Linked DNA regions of Bombyx mori. The protein of the gene in region 3 binds, or shares a complex with, the protein of the main gene of each other region. Links are inferred from orthologs where the notes say so. Each region holds a gene or a part of one and is shown on either strand. Other genes may lie near its edges.

Region 1 (3,427 bases), on a different chromosome or scaffold from region 3:
TATGACCTGGTGACTAAGACCTTTAAGTCATGTCTTATTTTAATTTATAGATTTGGGCGAGATCGTTATCTTAGCCCAGACTCAACAGAAACGACTTAGAGTAGAGAGATGAGCGCTCTTTTAACGCCCAGCCAACTGATTTTGTTGTTGAATTGTTTATTGTCCTCGAAAAGTCAGTCAGTCAAAGTAGTCACGTGCGATTTACATATCCCAAAATCCCAAATCCCAAAAACTAAAGTTGATGTGAGTTTTGACATATACAGGACTACTGGAGTCAGTGAAAAGCTTTCATCTAGCACATGAAAAACATGCCCTCATACCAAGTCCGGTAGTGGACATTGTAGCCTTATAATTTATATTTTTTAATTGGAAAAAGCATTTGGAACATGTTACATTTACATGGTGTCGTTTTTTCTAGCCTTTTCCAAATAAATATGGTAATATTATCCTGTCTGCTAAATCAAAGTTCATAATTATACCTTGATAAAACAAGGTCAGGGCAAATAGAATTATTAGCCAAATAATAATTAAAACATTCAATGAAACATTATTGTACCACACAGTATTTATTAATATAAGCTTTACATTTTAAAACATATCATTTTTTAGATCCTCCAAAGCCAGAAAACCCCATAATTTGTGCTAATTCAGAAGGTGCTGGTGTATCATCTATTTCATCATTCTCCATTAACTTCCGTTTCTTGTCCCGACGTCTCTCCCTACGTAGCTCTTTCACACGAGCTTCTTCTTCAGCGGCTTCCTTTAATCTTGTGTCTAATTCATATTCACGCTTTTTCTCTTCCAACTTTCGTTTATTGAGTGCAAATCTTGCTTTTACCTGGAACCAAACAAATATAATGTAGTAGTAGTAGCTATGATAGAATAGAATAAATATTATTAAAACCTGAATGGTATTTATAAAATTGAGAACAGCTAGATGAGTTAGATAGATTATTTCAAATTAGTGGTCTAGAAATTTAAATCATCTATTTGGTTGAACATTTTACATTTATTATTCCTTAACAATAGCATTAGAACTTGATAAAATTAAGATTGAAAGAATTTGTTGAGAATTATTTTAATATTGAGTGCTCTAGTTGAGTGGGATGGTAGGTTTGCTCAACTCAGGCAATCACAAAAATAATAGCGTTGGTTCATGATGTTTGTTATTATTTTGATGCAACAGTGGCCAATTGATGATCTCAGACCATAAATCTAGTAGCAAGTCAACAATCCTATTTACCTGCTTGGTACTATGCATATACATACATGTGAAAAAGTAAGCTCACCTGATCTAAGCTGCTCCTTTCTATTTTCATGGACATTCCCAGATTCCTCTGATGTTTTTTACCATTGATGTGATCAAGGAAATTTATTGAATCTTTAACAACACAGTCACAAACATTACAATAATATCCTCCAGATTGGGACGTTGGCGTATTCTTATTGATTACTACACTCTTCCCGAGTCTCGAGTCCAAATCTACTTTATATTCACGTTGTTTGAGAAGTTCACGTTTGACTGGAGTGGCTGGAAAATGAAAATTAAACAAACATTTATATATTGTGTCAAATTTGTATTTTAACGTAACAAAGTGTGTTGACACAAATATTTTACCTTTCTTCTTGGATTTTTCTTCTTCTTCTAGCTCTGCTTTCAAACGCTCGGCTGCAATTTTCTCGAATTCCTCTTTGTCCCATTTTCTTCGGTGGTCATCGGGGCGCATACTCATGTTTAAATTTTATAGTATTTATTTCACAACAATTACAAGTTATGATTTTCTTACACACTCCACTTGTTTGTTTTATATTAAACGTGTACCCAGAGGGAAGAGTAATCAATTAGATCTATTAAAAAAATAACACGAGAAAATCATCCTTAACAACACAAACGAAATGTTTCTAATTGACAACTAGCAGTGACAAAACTGACAAATGATTAGTTGTAGTATTTCCATTTTCTAACAAGAAAGGCGAAAGCATATATATATTATACAGCCTAATCTTTTATATATTCAGTTACATGAAAATTAATATAATAGGTTGGGGAAAAAGTTTCTTCGCATTTTTTAAGAAAATTAACAAATTTTTTTAATAGTTTATTTACATTTAACTTAAGTATGTAGGTATCATTTTGTTCGATAGCTTTTTGCCATTTTGTAAATAGGGACATGATCCCATTGCTATAAAAAATTTGGGGCTTCTGATCAAAATACCGAGACAATTGGTTTTGGCAGTCCTCTCGTGATGTTAATCTGACACTGCCTAAAGAATTCTGAAGAACCGAAACAGGTGGAAACCTGAAGGTGCAAGGTCAGGACGGATATACGGATAAACAGCGGATGCATTAACATCTTCCAGTCAAGCTCTCTTAATTTTTGCTGAATGGCTAAAGATGTGTAAGGTCACATTGTTATCATGATGAAAAGCCACACTCCTTCTGTTGATTAATTCTGGCCACTTTCTCTCAACTTCTTCCTTTAATCTCATCAGTTGTTCGCAGTAGAGTTCAGAATCAATGGTCTTGCCTGGTGGTAACAGCTCATAATGAATAATGTCCTTCCAATTCCACTACACAAACAGCATCACCTTGTTGCAAGTTAACCCAGGTTTTGCCACAGTCTGTGAAGCCTGACGGACCTTTGACCACGACTTTTTTCGTACGTTCTTGTCGTGCGTGATCCACTTTTCATCACCAGTTATCAGCTTCTTCAAACATGGTTCGGTTTCATTACGTCGTAATAAAGAATCACAAATGAGTACACGGTTCATTAGGTTTCTTTCAGTGAGCTCGTGAGGTACCCAAATATCGAACTTTTTTGTGTATCTATTTTTTTTCAAATGAGCCAAAGCTGTTTTGTAGTCAATTCCCAGTTCTTCAGCTACGTCGTAACTACTGATATGCCGATCTTGCTTTACTTTTTCAAAAAGATGCGATCAGTCACTTTCACTTTTTCAAAAAGATTCGATTAGAGCGACGTACAAATTCTTAAAATAAAAATTTCGTATTGAAAACGCTTAAACCAATTTTGTGCTACTTTCACAGACACAGCACTAGGTCCATAAACATCGCAATTTTTTTTCGCGGCCTACGTTGCATTTTTACCTTTTTTGTAGTAAACTTTTTAAATGTATCGATTTTCTTCATTAGATTCCCTAATCTTGACAGTACGAAAAACAAATAAAAATCACACATTTTCTTAATTTGAATTTGGAATTGTCTTTTTTAAAATTTTAAACCTTTAATTATTCCAAAACCAGCCAGATACAAATAGTATAACCAAAGAGATTTTATTACAAGTTCATACATACCTACCTACTATAATGAGAAAAGACTTTTCCCCATACTATTATAAAAATGATATAGATATAAAAAGAGTTGAAGATGATTTATTTGAGGCTGTAATCGATTGGGGTGAAATGAGAT
Region 2 (3,657 bases), on a different chromosome or scaffold from region 3:
CTTTATTAATATATATCAAAGAGTATCTGTGGCAGATCTATTCCACCAAGGAAATACACAAAATGGTTTGTACTTGTCTCGGATAAGAAGTGTCTAAAGGCCTTCAGTTAGGAAGATTAGGCAGACAGGAATTAGTGACACAGCCTTGACGTGTCCCTGACATTCCTCATGTCCATGTTACACCATGACCATGTAGAGGATACTAATGTACAGCTTACCTCAGGGTACTACTATTAATGGCCATGTTTTTATATGTGAACAATGGCAATAAAAATTTTGTTTCTTAAAATGTATCAAAAGTTTATTATATCTTCTTACCAATAATTTTCACAACATAACAGATCCATGCCACCACCATCAGAGAATAAAGGAGAGTTACGTCGTAAGAAAAAGTCATACTATGCTGCTCTTAAGAAACAAGAAGACAACAAGCTAGCAGAGCTTGCGGAGAAATACAGAGACAGAGCTAGAGAGAGGAGAGATGGTGTGAATGATTTAAGTGTTATTGATCCAACAAGCAACACAAGTAGTGCCTATAGGTAAACTTAATACTCTCTTTTTTATATATATAGCTAAGAAACTATTTGGGAAAATTCTATTGTTTCTTTTTTGTCACCATTTGCCATCAGAACCAAATTAATTCTTATTAGCTTGGACCTCTGTGCTTGTCTTGAAGTGAGTTCCTGAGATCACCTTTGCCACATTATATGATTGGAATGATTTCTTAATGCCTTTTCTGAATGCTATGACATACTTTTCAACCATCTCTGATCCTCTGCCATTCAAAACAAAGTATAAAATTGAGTGAAGTCCTATGTAGTTTTTTTTAAAGTTTTGAATCATTCATACTCTAAATGAATCGGTAGTGTCCTTCTAACTATTATGCTGAGGGCACTGGGTTCGATTCCCACATCGAGCAAACATTCATGTGATGAACAGGCTTTTCTAGGTGTTTATTACCTACTATATGTATATATTTAAACTTATATAAGGATGTTTGTCAGTATCTGGTATCCATAACATATAGACACCTAATTTGGGGCCTGAGGTCCATGTGCGATTTGTTCACAGTTAAAAATGAAAGTAAAATCTGTAATTTTTTTACAGAGCTGTTGCTCCAGATTTGAAATCAGGTCTAGATGCCAAAGAAAGGAGGAGACAACTTATCCAGGTATTTACCTATAGTTAACTTTTTTATCTTAAATATTATAACAACATAGAATATTACTGTTCAATATTTTTAATAAACAATTATTTTACAATTTACTTCATTTTACAGGAATCCAAATATCTTGGTGGTGACATGGAGCACACTCACTTGGTAAAAGGTCTCGATTATGCTTTGTTGCAGAAGGTAAGATATTTATTCAATTTCTATTGATCAATCAATATTATAAATAATGGTTTTATTTAATGCTAATTATTTAATGCTATTATGTTTCTTCGGTGTTAAGTTGTTAACAGAGCATACATATTGCAAAATGAAGACCCATCTTCAGATATTAGACCAAAATCTTATAATATGTCAGTATAATCTGCAATATGTTCTAAAGGATAATATTTTTTATTTACTATGTATATACATATATATTTATATTTGTACACACAAATGTATGTATAGTTCTATAGTTTCTAACAAGATAAGTCTCATAATTGATATTATAATTTTGACTTTGTTCCATAGATCCATATTACAAGAATATAATATAGGATCATAGGATATATTAAAAATCATGTATATTTATGTATTTTTTTCACGAATCATAAATTTGTTATAATATTATATTTTTACTCTGTGTTAAAGGTTCGTTCAGAAATACAAACTCGGGAGCAAGAAGAAGAAGCCGAAATGGAGAGACTGGTCACTATTCCCGTGGAACCTGTAAAAGAAAAGAAAGAAGAAAAGAAGGAAGTTGTAAGTCAATACATGTTGTTTTTTACTCGTAAGTTTGCAAATGAGTTCATGTCTTAATTTTTTTATTTGCCTAGTCATATGAAGTGGGAGGAGCTAGAACAAACTGCCCAAGACCGATGTAAATGGAAAAAATTGATTCGAGCCCTACACCCCAGCAGAGGGTAATAGGAAAGAATGATGATGATGCCTAGTCATACGAATGAAGTTATGGCTCATTTGGTTTTAAGTGGTTACTAAAACTCAACCCATCCAGCACCTCACAATGTGAATGTTGCCACTTATTTGGAGATGTAACTCCGTATTGTATATGTTGAAGATTGCAAGTGTATTTACTAACTAGCAGCGTTTACTACAATACACAACAAAATCTGTGTTACAGAACTTGCAATAATTGCCTTGTTTGTTTTTTTTTGTAGTTGTACTTTAGTGGAACATTTATTTATCCCGAGTCTAAGCGTGTCACAATATGTTCTACAATAGATAAAAAAGCCACCTCTAATGTTGACATTATAAAATAAAATCAATCACCATTTAGAAAATATTCCAAGTCTAAACTTTAGAGAATGGCATCATTCTACAATGATAATAGGCAGTAGCACCAGTATAGGTATTAAATGTACTAAGCCAGAGTCAGAGTACTGGCTCATTCATTAGTGAGAATACTCGATTCAAAGCAAATGTTTATCATGATGATAGTCTAGTCATAGTTCTATCAATAACATTGAAGTTTAAGAATATAATATTTTTTACTTAACACCATAACCATCTTCTGTCTATCGTTAGAGGTCAAATTTGTCAAAATGAACTATTCTTCACTGATGATGTAATGAAATTATCTCGAACAGTTTGATTCTCTTTTCAAATTAAAATACTTACAGCTTCAAAAAAACAATATAATTTTTATTTTATTTACTGTTAGTTTTATTATTACAGGAAGAAGAGATGCAGTTCAAGACTCAAATGGGAAAAAATATTTTTGACATGATTCTAGAACAAAAGTAAGTTAATTTTTTTCGTAACATTATAAACTCTATTGTGACGATAATTAGAGCAACTACTTAAAATGCAACACCGTTATAAAAGAAAGATTTAGAATTCATGTCTCAAGATGGGTGGCATTTACTTGACCACTTAACCAATGACCATTTAACTCCAAGGAGATTGTCAACCCATTGAAGCAATAATTTTTTGTTTAGATAAAGAACAGATTACTTAATTCCTTAATAACGTTAGATTCATTGAAGTTCTTATTTAGTACTAGCGGCCCGCCCTCGCTTCGCTTCGGAAGCTGTAATTCATTATTGATTTCTCCACTATTTAATGGATGTTATTACATATAAACCTTCCTCTTCAATCAATCTATCTATTTAAAAAAACCGCATCAAAATTCGTTGCGTAGTTTTAAAGATTTAAGCATACATAGGGACAGACAGATATAGGGACAGAGAAAGCGACTTTGTTTTATACTATGTAGTGATATAAACTAAAGAGTTATTGGGTTTGGTGTTATAAAAAATGATGACTGCCTTTTTCAGGAACAAGAAAGTTGTCCGCAGCGAAATGTTTGCTCCCGGTCGTATGGCGTACGTGGTCGAGCTCGACGAAGAAGGCACAATCGATTCCGATATACCCACAACGTTGACTCGGAGTAAAGCGGACGTTCCCGAAATGGACGAAAGGAGTTCGGCTTCGAGTGCAAATGATCTTGTCGTCGAGAAACTGACTCAGATCTTCTCATATTT
Region 3 (4,379 bases):
AAATACCTTATGGTCCGATCAAAGGAGGCCGAGAGGATCTGAGTGTTGTCTCGGGTGAACTGCAGGCAGGTCACGCCCTTAGAGTGAGCTCGGTCCAGTTTGCGTTGCACTTTACCCGTTGACACTTTCCAGACCTGTTCACAGAGAATTTTATTGAGTAATTATGTTGAATTTACTTAATGACCCATGTGTTGAACAAAGGATACAATGAAACTATCTTGAACGACCAAAAAATTTCATGTTCAAAGTTCAATGCAGCCCGGGGAAGGGGTGGCGAAGGGGTGGAGAAGGGGTGGAGAAGAGGAGGGAAGGGGAGGAGAAGGTCTCTTAACTTCACATTACATTGCGGTTGCACGATATGTTCAACAAAAAGTATATAATCATCTTAGGAAATATATATTGCTTTCCGTTTTGTCTGTTACCACCTAATGATGCCCAGGTGAATTCTGAGCTCATTAGGTCATATACATAGCATTATATAATTATATATTAGGGAGCAATAATAACTCACTTTTTACACGGAAGCAGTAATGAAAAGGTTAACTAGCATGAGGTTTTAAAACATTTATTACCTTAATTTTTCCATCATTAGACCCAGCAGCCAATGTGTCGCTATCCCTCGCAAAAGCCAGGCTCAGCACCGCCTCTTCCATGCACATGTACTCATCATGAGCCTGATAACGCAAATCCTTACGGATTTTTCCTGTTGTAAAGTTCCAAACTTCAACGACGCCATCTACGGAGCCCGTCACTAAATATTGTCCATCAGGAGAAAATCGCGCGCACTCCACGTGGGACTTCTGACCGAATTTGATGATCTTGGACAGTTGGGTGGGGCAGAGATCGTCTTCTTGGTCTCTTATTGCGGCTTTACCACGGAACAAATCTATAGTGGTGCCGGGAGGGAGCAGACCCTGGTGCTGTTGCCATTTGAGGGCCTGGCCCAGTAGTGCCAGCAGACGGGACGACGGTACGACGGACACCTCCCCGGCGAGGGACGCTGCGATGGCAGCGCGGCGCCGCTCCTTGCCTCCTCCACTGCCGTATGCCTCACGAGGATCGAAATATGAACGTGCTAACAGGTTTTCTGTCATATGAAGATAAACATTCAGACACATACAGATTTAACTATGGATTAAAACAATTGGAAATGTGTATAAAAATTGCTTAAACTAAACATGTTTTTATTGCCTCTATTTAGATCAGCTTAGGACCACCCATCTGGTCACATTAATGGACATCAACAATGCCAAAGGCATAGCCAAGTTGCTACAGCAGTAGTATTATTTACTTTAATTGTATTGCATTTATTTACTATTGTATTGCAATAAGTTTTATTTTAAATATTATATCTTTTTATATTATATTATTCATATTCATTAGCATTCTAAGATACAAATCTGATTTAAAGACTGGATGTATTTTTAGCCAAATACATATACTAAAATTTTGACTCACCAAGATGCATATACCGATCTGTTTCATGCTGCTTCATCAACAGACAAGGATGTGTCTGACGTAGCAAGGATCTCGCAGCACCCAATTCTCGCAGTTCTATCAACTCCAATACAACCTGCTCATATAACTCCATCAACTTTTTGTCAGGAAGCTTGAGTGAAGCAGTAGCTTTAAGTACTGTGTCCCAGTGGCCATTGTTAATATCTGCGCAGAAACCGTCCACGCTGTCTACTGTATTTAGAGTCACTCCAGTTTCCTCCTATATATTAAAAATCATTTACTTTCAAAATTCAGAGAGATGACATCTGAATCAGATGTACAGTTACGGCTTTTTATTGCATAAAATGGTGAACAAGCTCATTGCCAACTAAGTGTTGAGTCTTTAGTTGAGACATATCAACACTGCCATCCTTCTAACTTGAAACTTCAGGTATAAATTTCAGTGTTATACATAGTATTACAGCTGTCACATCTATCAAACCTGTACACATGGCTGCTCTATTGAAAAATAGGCAGGAACTTATAGGTACCATTGGGGGGTCACAAGACACCCTAACAGTAGTGAACAACATGCATACATCTCATATAATTTGGTCATTACAACTACTAATCTTGGAAGTTAAAGCTTCAGTGGCACAGGAATGGTATCAATATTTAAAAAAAATTCACAACCCCAAATTGTTCAATATGGGTGGATCTTACTAAAAGTTGCATGCTGTCTGAAGTTAAAAAAGCCGTATGTAACATTAATCCTAGCCAGTGTCAAAGCTTAAGAGTTTATCAATAATAAGTTGGTATTCTTTTCTGACTTGATACAATTGAAGTTCTCATAAATGTACACAAAATTCATTAATATAAGTGAATAATTAAGTAAAATAAGTGCAATCTGTAAAGTTTAAAAAATTTACACTAATTCTATTCATTAAAAAATATGTTTAATTAAATATCAACAGAATTAACCTGCAAAGTCTGCAATGTTTTGGTTAAATTTGACTCCTTCAAGTATTGTTGTATCAGTCTGATAACACTGCAATTGAAATAAAAATATATTTTAGGCACTAAATTAAATATTTGATGAATAATTTCAAGTAATTTCGTGTTTACATTGATAGTAAACTCACTCGGCTGATTCTATCTCAATGGACATTGTGTATAAAACGTCTTTTATACGAAGTTACCACAGAAAACTTGCTACGCGAATTTGAAGGTTTATATTTTTACATATATAATAAACAATGTCACAAAATTAATGTCTAAAATTTTATTGAAAATAAAATCACACAGAAGGAAATAAACACAATTCAAGTTCAGCGCCATAGATTAGCTACAAGCCATACATAGATTGCCCACCATAGAGTTACTATTACAACCTTACTCCATGTTGCCCACATAACATTTAATTTTATGACTACAAACTAAACGTGAAGTGTATGGTCAATGCCTCCTATGCTACCAATAGGCCTTAATTATTATGTTTAATATGCATTACGCATTTTATCCTGCCTAGTAGCTTGCGATGTACGCATAGTACATTTTATCCTGGAAATTGGACCCACGACTCTTTGACCCGAAATAACGGGTTAAGACTGAGGGCGACTGTATATTGTCCGGTCATCAGGATCGTTCTTTTTTTAATGCTTAGATGAGTGGACGAGCTTACAGCTGGTGTTATGTGGTTACTGGAGCACATACACATCTACAACGTTAATTCCGCCACCCACCTTGAGATGTAAGTTATAAGGTCTCTGTTAGATACGAGGGATACACGAGTGAAACACTTGCCTGCTGTTAACACACTGCCCTATATTTGTTGAAATACCCCGTATGCGTAGGCACACGCACACATACTTAACAGTCTCAGTATTACAACGGCTGCCCGACCCTTCAAACCGAACCGCATTACTACTTCACGGCAGAAATAGGTAGGGTAGTGGTACCTACCCGTGCGGTAGGTACTCACAAGTCTACTCACTACTCACAAGGATACTCACAAGACTTTCTACCACCACTAATTACGCCACTTCCGAAGCTCCTGATCCTGCGGTCTAGAGTCGCCGATGAATTAGCGACATCTTCCCAGCTCACTCCAGTAATAACTAGTATCATCGCCGAAGAGAGCTAGAAGGGTCTCTGACGACTGGCGTGTATTATTAAAATATATACTGAACTGAGTAACGGGGAAAGAATGGAGCTTCGCGCTCGTTGACGAGAATGCTTTTCGCGGTGACAAAGTCCCAGAAGGGTTTACGGAGCAGGTGCGAACTTCTCTGCCGGGCAAATTACTGTCAAATATAACGGTAGGCAGCAGCTTGACTCAGCCCCTAGCATTGCTGAAGTCCATGGGCGATGGTAGCCACTCACCATCAGGTGGGCCGTAAGCTCGTCTGCCTATAGGACAATCACAATTTATAGATAGGTATATGACTAATTCCCATTTATCCATCTGCCTTCTATCATCTTTCATCTTCTGGTATCCATAAAACTAGCCGTCCGCATATTAAATGTTATGACGAAAAGGTGCCAGCGTTTTATCTACGAATATTTCAAAGCAATTAAGACTTGAATCTCACGACTCGAGTTTGATGCCGTTTACGAGCACGATAGATTTGGGTTTCCATGAAGTTCCTCAACACCAGGTAACCAAGGACCCTAAGGTCGTGAGCTAGACTGCCCTTTCACGACAAAAGAGATGAGTATATTGATAACAGATGCAAGTAACGCCAGTGAGCCATCTCGCGGCAAGTGAGGCATGAACTTATTTAAGGTGTTTTTTGAGGTACTTGTAAAAAAACAATTAAAAATTAAAGTATGTAGTTTGTTTGCTAAAGCCACATAGTAATGGTCTCTTTTGAGGTTTCGCAATAATTGCAAAATTTTTCAACTTCAAAACCAATGGAATATTTTCGATTTGAGAAGTGTAG

What was found.
Region 1: WD40 repeat-containing protein SMU1 (region 3) and zinc finger matrin-type protein 2 share a complex: the UniProt entries of both Homo sapiens proteins name them as parts of the spliceosome B complex. The link is inferred for Bombyx mori from reciprocal best matches to the Homo sapiens genes SMU1 and ZMAT2.
Region 2: WD40 repeat-containing protein SMU1 (region 3) and protein Red share a complex: the UniProt entries of both Homo sapiens proteins name them as parts of the spliceosome B complex. The link is inferred for Bombyx mori from reciprocal best matches to the Homo sapiens genes SMU1 and IK.

Annotation. Positions count from the first base shown.
Region 1 is NC_085128.1:9,737,987-9,741,413, forward strand, and holds zinc finger matrin-type protein 2, read right to left. Parts: upstream 1,937-3,427; 5' UTR 1,734-1,936; coding exon 1,619-1,733; intron 1,532-1,618; coding exon 1,290-1,531; intron 839-1,289; coding exon 599-838; 3' UTR 548-598; downstream 1-547. UniProt on the Homo sapiens protein: Involved in pre-mRNA splicing as a component of the spliceosome.
Region 2 is NC_085122.1:6,718,448-6,722,104, forward strand, and holds part of protein Red, read left to right. Parts: intron 1-341; coding exon 342-539; intron 540-1,107; coding exon 1,108-1,171; intron 1,172-1,279; coding exon 1,280-1,354; intron 1,355-1,804; coding exon 1,805-1,915; intron 1,916-2,848; coding exon 2,849-2,913; intron 2,914-3,450; coding exon 3,451-3,657. UniProt on the Homo sapiens protein: Involved in pre-mRNA splicing as a component of the spliceosome. Auxiliary spliceosomal protein that regulates selection of alternative splice sites in a small set of target pre-mRNA species. Required for normal mitotic cell cycle progression.
Region 3 is NC_085112.1:942,623-947,001, reverse strand, and holds the start of WD40 repeat-containing protein SMU1, read right to left. Parts: upstream 2,807-4,379; 5' UTR 2,606-2,806; coding exon 2,580-2,605; exon of another isoform or gene 2,563-2,579; intron 2,486-2,562; coding exon 2,419-2,485; intron 1,718-2,418; coding exon 1,459-1,717; intron 1,088-1,458; coding exon 573-1,087; intron 135-572; coding exon 7-134; intron 1-6. UniProt on the Homo sapiens protein: Involved in pre-mRNA splicing as a component of the spliceosome. Regulates alternative splicing of the HSPG2 pre-mRNA. Required for normal accumulation of IK.